Caenorhabditis elegans: one gene and its partner. The protein of the gene in region 1 purifies or fractionates together with the protein of each later gene. This does not show direct contact. Each region holds a gene or a part of one and is shown in the gene's direction. Other genes may lie near its edges. The genes, in order: dnc-4 and dnc-3.

Region 1 (4,010 bases):
AAACCTATCGCTTTCATCATCGGCAACTAATTTTAACTCGGAAAAGTCTGAGATCGGATCGAAAATCACGATGAACCCTGCAAAACAGGTTCTCAAGGGTAGAAATACTCGCAAGAAGAGGTCAATGGTCGACTTGTCGCAGATTAACAAGATCTTCGGAAGAGACTATAACCCGCCAGCTCCATCTTCAAAATCGCCACCGACTATTTATGTGAACTTGGGAGTTATATATTCTTCGTCCTCTTCTCACGCTTCTGATGCTTCATCCATCAGTTCCCATACGTCCGTTTCGTCTACTTTTACCGAAAAGCAGCACGAATTTGGAAAACTCGTTCCATCTGGGACTGACGGCAGCCTTGAGTTGTTCGTTAAAGTGGCCGATTGTTTTGATTAAAGAAGGCGAATCTCTTGAACTTGAATAAACTTGCAATCTAGTAAATGTTAATTTTTTTGATTTTTGGGAAGAATACACTAAAACGTCGTTTAAGAATATGTTCACTGAGAACCAATTACATTCTTTTGTGCTGAATATAATAGAAAAATGCCTCTCTGACTAGGTCTTAGGATAAACTTGGAAGTATAACAGAAGTTATACTTTATTTTTTTGTGAAAAGATTAAGTAATCAGCTACCAGAATCAAATAAAATTTTGCCGAAGACCTCTGGAAATCTGTAAATTCCGCTCTGAAAATGTTTCTGAAATTCACGGTGTTCAGTGGAAAACTCACTTTTCACGTGAAGGCTAAGCACACAAAAAATTTACAATGTTGTATCGGAGTTTTGACATGAGTATCAAAGGTTCGACAATTTCAGCTTCTCAAATCTCGATCTTATTTTCAGTATACCTTCAAGATTTTGCAGATTAGGAAGGTCTTTTCGCCAAAGTAGTACAACTACTTGTATCACGCCTACCACGATAGCGTGGTTTGGTACGGTTTCACTGCCAGCCCTTTACTCTACCCAACTATCCAAGAAAAACGAGTGAGAATTTCACTGCCAACATATTTGACGAACTAAATATCTCATAGCGAAAACTACGAAACTTTTTTAAATGACTACTGTAGCGCTGGTGTCGATTTACGGTCCCGATTTTCGAAACGAATTACCGTTCGAAAACACTTGTGGCAGAGATTTTATTTTTTTGTTTTATTCGTACTGTTTTGTCATTTTTCTGTTTTCCATTTATATTTTATCGATTAAAAATTATTTCCGTAAATCGACACCAGTACAGTAGTTACTTATGAAAAGAGTTACTGTAGTTTTCGTTACGAGATATTTTGTTTATTTCGCGTCAAATATATATTTTTATAAATATGTTGCGCAATATGCATTCTTAGAATATCGTGTTCCTGTAATAACATACACTTGCGTCGACGACCTGCCAGCCCAATTTTAATTAGTATGTAAAATGCAATCTTCTCCCAAATGAAATCCCTATCCGGATTATAAAATATTAGTTAATTTGTTTTCTAAAATATTTGTAATTGATGTCAAGTCAAAGGTGTTCCATCCTCAATAACCTTCGTATTTATTTATATGCATTTTCAACATTAATTGAGTTTTCCGTATTCCAGTTGTGCGGGTACTAATTTCTCGTGCGAGAGACCATGTTAAAAGGAGAGAGTGCGATACTGTGGCCGAGAAATCTCAGCGCGGCCGAGGGACGAGATCGTGTTGTGAAATAGTTTTTTTTACAAAAATAATTATTTAAGTTTAACATTAATTTTTGTGATTAAAATAACATTAAACTGCTACTTTTTCAAATTTTCGAATTAAAAATTTAACATTTAGGAGCGGTTGCGGTTCTCAATATGAGCGAGTTGCTGCAGTACAGTCGAATCAAATACGAGTGCACCTGTGGAAAATTTCGAACCCTTCCGGACCTTGTTTTCTGCCGATATTGCTTCAAAATTAAGTAAGTTTTTTTAATGGGTAATTGTCTAAAAATAATTGAAAAAAAAAATTAACCAACTTTTCCAGGTGTGATGACTGTAGCTTGGGAGAAGTTGACAATATTTTCTGTCCTCGATGCCTTGAACCATCAAGCGTCCCTGAAGCAAGACTTAAAAAGCATAAATGCGCAAGTTGCAATGATTGTCCTAAGTGTGGTATGATTTATCCACTATTTTGTAAATATATTTGAATATTTTCAGCTAACGTTCTGAGTGCTCGTACAGAAAATGATAATGTATATTTGGTTTGTCAGTACTGTCGTTGGTCTTCAAGAGAAGCGAATCAAGAAGATCAAGAGAATACTAAATCCTGGCCAACGTATGACTAACTGTAAATATGATCTTATGACATTTTATTTATACAGAAAAGAAAATCCATTGGTTAATCAACTTGGTGAGGTGACGGCATACATGAAGAGACTTGAATTGATTGAAAATGCTCCAAAAGATTTGAAAAAGGGAAAATCGGGCAAAGCCTGGACTGCTTTTCACTTGAAAGACAAGTTTGGATTTCAACAAATGGTAGATAAGCGGAAAAAAGCACTGGCTCCTGAAATGAATCCAGTTGATGCACATGCTCCAACAGAAGCGCCGACTCTTGAAGATGAGATTAAAGAAAGAACGGATGATCTGAGAACTCTCGATCAAATCATAATGCAACCATTGATCAATATCTCTGAGCCACTCCTTCCTGTACAAGTTCCTCTGGCTGGAAGAGTTCAAGTTCGATGTGATGAGTGCGAAAGAACTCTTATCAAACGAGACTTCGGAGTTACTACCTTTAAATTTAAAATTTCGGTGAGTAGCTCATTCAACAATAATGTAAAAAGTTTAAATTTCAGTCATTTGCCCGTCAATTTGTTCCTGACATCAGAATGTCTCGACCGGTTGATGATCTTAAAGTTGGGGAGACATCACACGTATTTCTCTCTATTACCAACTTATCATCATCTGCAATGGATTTGACTATCGCACCTCAATCTGGAAATGGTTTCATTCAATGTTCCAGTGATCCAATCCAGCTTCTTCTTCCATCATCGCGAGCATCGGATACTGCTGCTCCTGGAGTTCATGCTGACCAAAGGTTAGTTTTTTCTTGTTTTTAATTGACTAAAAATGGTATTCCAGTGACGTCATCGTGTTCCGACAGCACAACCGAGTTGGCCTTCGACTGGATGTTATTCCCACCGAGATGGATCTCTCTTCTCCATGTCTCAATCTTTTGATTACATATTGTCAGGATGGATCGTTCCGTCTCTCCTCCGCTAGTGACAAAATATTGAAACCAGAAGAAACGTGTCCTGATCCAATTCTCTCTGCTAATTTAAAAGTAGATCTCAGATAATCATTTCATGTATATTTGTTTCTATCCTTTCTCTACCACAGCGTGTCTTTTCTTAAACATAATTTATAAGCTTTGTTAAATATTTAGAAGACGTTTTTATGCTTTAAATTAAATACTTTAAAATTCAACATTCAAACATCCCAACAACAAATAAACATGATCGAGAAAATCAAAAATCAATATTCTGGCAAGATGGAGTATTTTGATGACCTGGAGCTGGCTCATCAAATGCAGGTGGAAGATGCATCACTCGAATTTGGAAACCTTTTCTGGAACTTGCTTCAAAAATAAGATCGAGAATCGGTGGAGTGTGTGTTCCAACGGACATCAATCGGGGCAAACTCTTCAAATGGAAGTATCCATGAGCAGTGCCAAGATGTTTGAACATTTTCTTCTCATTTTCATCAAACGGCATCAGTTGAATATGTGTATCAGCTGCGGATTCCAGTATACGCCAAGTTGGTTTCGGAACTCTGAAGGAGTTAGCCGTGATGTATACAATCATGTAACTCGAACGAGCTAAAGATCGGAGACAGCACAGGAATCGGCCAAGGAACTTGTAATCTTCACAAATTTCCATATCGATATTCTTCAGAACCACTCGAAGAAGATTCTTTTTCGGTCCACCTGAAGTAAAATTCATTAGTTTATGTATAATAATTCAATAAAAATCTCACCTCTTCCGCCGGATTTTGTGTGAGCTTCATTTTCTTT
Region 2 (3,633 bases), on another chromosome or scaffold:
TGGTTGTTGGGCTCACGGAGTCGATGAGAATCCGACGCTTTTTTCGTTCAAACTAGATAATTTTGACGATCATCTCGAGGCAAGATTCCGTGGAAAATTCCAGAAGGATCAGGTTTATGACTGGATTTTGACGTAAGATTTTGACGTGGCCGTGGGGGATAAAACTCGGCCACCAAATGAAATTTCTCTTCCAGAACCAAGCAACCCGAGGTAAAACTGCTCAACGAGGAGCTGGTGCCGAGCTACCGTAGTGGAATGGTCCCAGGATTTGATCGCGCGCGGGAAACCGTAACAATTCTGTTTATTGACACGAAAAAGTCGCAGATTTGGAGGAATTACGCGAAATTTGCGCGGGAAAATCACGGGCGGTTCCATTTGACAGCGCTGGTGTCCGAGGAGGTCAAGAAATGGTAAGAATTGGTGGAGAATGTTGTTCAAAATTTGATTTTCCGTAACTTTCCGGGTCCTACCGCGAACGAAAATTTCCAACTACAGTACCCCACATGGTAGCTCACGTGGTGCCAGGCTGTCTCATTGCGGTTTGATCTACAAAAATCCAGGAATTTTTCCCCTAGCAAAGAGTGACGTCAGCACGTTCTTAACCATGGGAAATCAATTGAGAACTCTGCGTCTCTTCTCCCGCATTTTTTGTAGATCTACGTAGATCAAAAAGGAGACACTCTGACACCACGTGGTAGCTGAGAAGTTTTGTTCGTGCCAAGACCCAAAGCATGGATTTGATCGAAAAAATATTATGCCAGTCCGAGTTTTTAGTCGTAATCGCAACTTTTTGGGTCCTGCCGCGAACGTAACTTTCCAACTACAGTACCCCCACACGATAGCCAAATTCGTTCGTGCCAAGACCCAAAACTGGGATTTTGGCTAAAAATGTATTTTTTTTCAGAAGAAATTGAATTTTAACGAGAAAAATTGGTTTTTTTTTCCTGGAAATTTTCGAATTTTCCAAATTTCAAATTTCCCGATCTTTCAGGTCCATCTACCCTGCCTTCATCACGATGAAGCCCTATGACCCCTTCGTAAAAGCCTTCACACTTCATAAGGATCTCAACTGGAATCGAATGGTCGACTACTTGGAGGACGGTGTACACCCGGGCTGTCATCAATTGTCAAGTCCCTCCGATTTCCTCTTCGCCACCGGAACCCAGAAGCCTCTGGTCGTATTTTTCGACCCACTGGACTCTAAAAATTCTGAAGGATTCAAAAAATCTGCTGCCGAGCAGCAAAGCGGCGATCGAATTGCTCATTTTTCGGCTGTAACCGGTTTCGACCTGTTTGGACTGTATGTGATGAGCGTTTTTAATGTGAATTCCCCGAGCTATATTGTCATTCGGCGACAGGTACTTTCACTTTTTAACTTCAAATTAAATTCATTTTTTCCAGGAAAAAGGATGGTGCATCCACACAAAACCCGCTGAAAACGACAATTTCACTGGAATTCTTTCATGGGTTCGGAATTTGGAGCCAGTTCACTGCCAGGAGCTCATTGAAAACTTCAAGTTCCCAATTGCTCGTTTGAATCTGTTGGAGCGGTATGATGACGTGGAAGAGCTAGAGAAAGGGTTCACGGCCGTGGAGTGGACTAGGGACGAGCTATAGGAATTTTAAAAAATTGCTCTGTTGTAATTTGGTAAAAATAAATAATTTAATTTGTTTTAATTTGATGTTTTACAGATTAAAATTGCATTAAAAATTTATATTTAAGAATTAATTAATTTTCCCTGCTCGTCATTTTAAATGCCAGTTCCGCAGGTACACCGCCACGGTAGATTGCGGACAAAAGAATCCTTTTTTTAGCTGTTTTAAGGAAATAACAAGAAATTTCGATGAAAATTTTCAGTTTTAAGCTTTCATACTAAGATTTAATAAAAAACAGACAATTTTAATGTAGAATTGCAGGCGATATCCTAGTTTCCACACTGAAAATCACTTGCGCGTCAAATAAAATGCAAAGTACGCATTGACACCGTCACGTCCCATTGCACACAATTTCTCAATTATTATTTTTCTTTTTCGATCTTTTGATTTTAAATCTGAAAATGGACATGATCGAGCTTGAAAAAAAGATTTCTGAAATTGAAGAAGTTCTAGGAATCGATGATCTCACCACGGTAAGCTTTTTTCGCGCAATTTCCAATAAAAATGCCAATTTTTTTTCCAGAAAACATCAATTCCCTCTCAAATCGAGGCTCTTCAATCCAAATTACGAGATGATTGTAAGGCGAATCTGCTAATGTCGATTCCCATTCAAAAGCTGGAGCATTTGAGCAAAATCGCCACGGAAGTACGTTGGAAAAACTGAATTTTCTGTGAAAAATCGATTTTTCAGACATCCGGCCCATATGGATCGCTGACTGACAAAATAGAGTCTGTAAAATACGCGGAAAAGCTGATCAATGAACGAGCGGAACGGATTAAACAATTTTCAGATGCTCTTGAGGTCTTTTTTTGCGATTTTTCAGAGAAAATTGAAGAAAAATAAAAAATTTCAGCCCTGCCTCGACCAGGAGCTCTTCTCAAAAGTGGCTGCACTTCAACCGGAGCTTGACGCTGAAATCGAAAAATACGAGAAGGCCCTGGAGGACTGGACCAAGTAATTGCAGTTTTTAAAGCCTAAAAATCTGAAATTTCCAAAATTTCAGAACCTACGGAGAATTCCAGACACTTGTCGCCGAGCGGTCAATGATCAACCAAAAAATCACCGAAAAAGTGCTGGATCTGCAGACGAAAATCAACGCAAAAGCTAAATAATTAAATATTTTTTCGCTGGATTGTAATTTATTTTTATTTTCTTTGTTTTCCTGTAAAAATTGAAATTCTACAAGTTTTTTGTTAGACAGAAAGACGAATTGGCAGCAATTATCGACTTTTCGAAGTGGGCAAGATGATGACGTTGTTTCGGGAAATTGGAAAATTTGTTTTTTTCCAATTTTTTTCCTCGCAAGAAAAATAGTTTTCTCTCCATTTGAATTACTAGATTTTTCAAAAAATTTGAACTTTTCTCCGTGGAGCGCGCTTGCATTATTAGATTTTACGAAAATTTGAATATTTCTCAGTGGAGCGCACTTACACCTCACTTTTTTCCAAAATTTTTAGTAATTCTCGATGGAGCGCGCTTGCAGCAAGGTAATTTTCAAAATTTTCCCAAAATCTCTATGTAGCGCAGTTGTAATCCAAAATTACAGCTAATTACCAGTAGAGCGCGCTTGCATCAGTATTTTTAAAATTTTTTTGAAATCAATTATCAGTGGAGCGTACTTGCATCCCAATAAATTTCATATAGTGCCAGGCTGTCCCATTACAGTTTGATCTACAAAAAATTCGGGAATCAGCACGTTCTTAACCATGCGAAATCAGTTGAGAAACCTGCGTCTCTTCTCTCGCATTTTTTGTAGATCTACGTAGATCAAGCCAAAATGAGACACCCTAACATCACGTGAAATTTCAAAATTATAGACAATTCTCTGTGGAGCGCGGCTGCATCGTTATATTTTTCGAAATTTTTACAAAATTCTCTGTGGAGCGTACTTGTAACACTAGCTTAGCCAAAAATTCCACCAATTCTCTCTGGAGCGCGGTTACACCGCTAGATTTTTCAAAATTCTACTAATTCTC

Evidence for each region.
Region 2: the proteins of dnc-4 (region 1) and dnc-3 purify together in Caenorhabditis elegans (affinity purification with mass spectrometry; 2 studies listed by BioGRID, with this or other methods). This does not show direct contact.

What each region holds. Positions count from the first base shown.
Region 1 is NC_003282.8:8,017,589-8,021,598, reverse strand, and holds dnc-4 (Dynactin subunit 4), read left to right. Parts: upstream 1-1,790; 5' UTR 1,791-1,810; coding exon 1,811-1,914; intron 1,915-1,979; coding exon 1,980-2,107; intron 2,108-2,152; coding exon 2,153-2,270; intron 2,271-2,316; coding exon 2,317-2,749; intron 2,750-2,793; coding exon 2,794-3,035; intron 3,036-3,079; coding exon 3,080-3,296; 3' UTR 3,297-3,424; downstream 3,425-4,010. Other genes in the region: C26B2.2 (Membrane-associated kinase regulator), read left to right, coding at 1-394; elpc-4 (Elongator complex protein 4), read right to left, coding at 3,466-3,923, 3,974-4,010.
Region 2 is NC_003280.10:3,551,779-3,555,411, forward strand, and holds dnc-3 (DyNactin Complex component), read left to right. Parts: upstream 1-2,001; 5' UTR 2,002-2,057; coding exon 2,058-2,129; intron 2,130-2,179; coding exon 2,180-2,302; intron 2,303-2,347; coding exon 2,348-2,458; intron 2,459-2,510; coding exon 2,511-2,611; intron 2,612-2,660; coding exon 2,661-2,769; 3' UTR 2,770-2,839; downstream 2,840-3,633. Other genes in the region: W10G11.19 (DUF4105 domain-containing protein), read left to right, coding at 1-132, 195-410, 992-1,358, 1,402-1,617.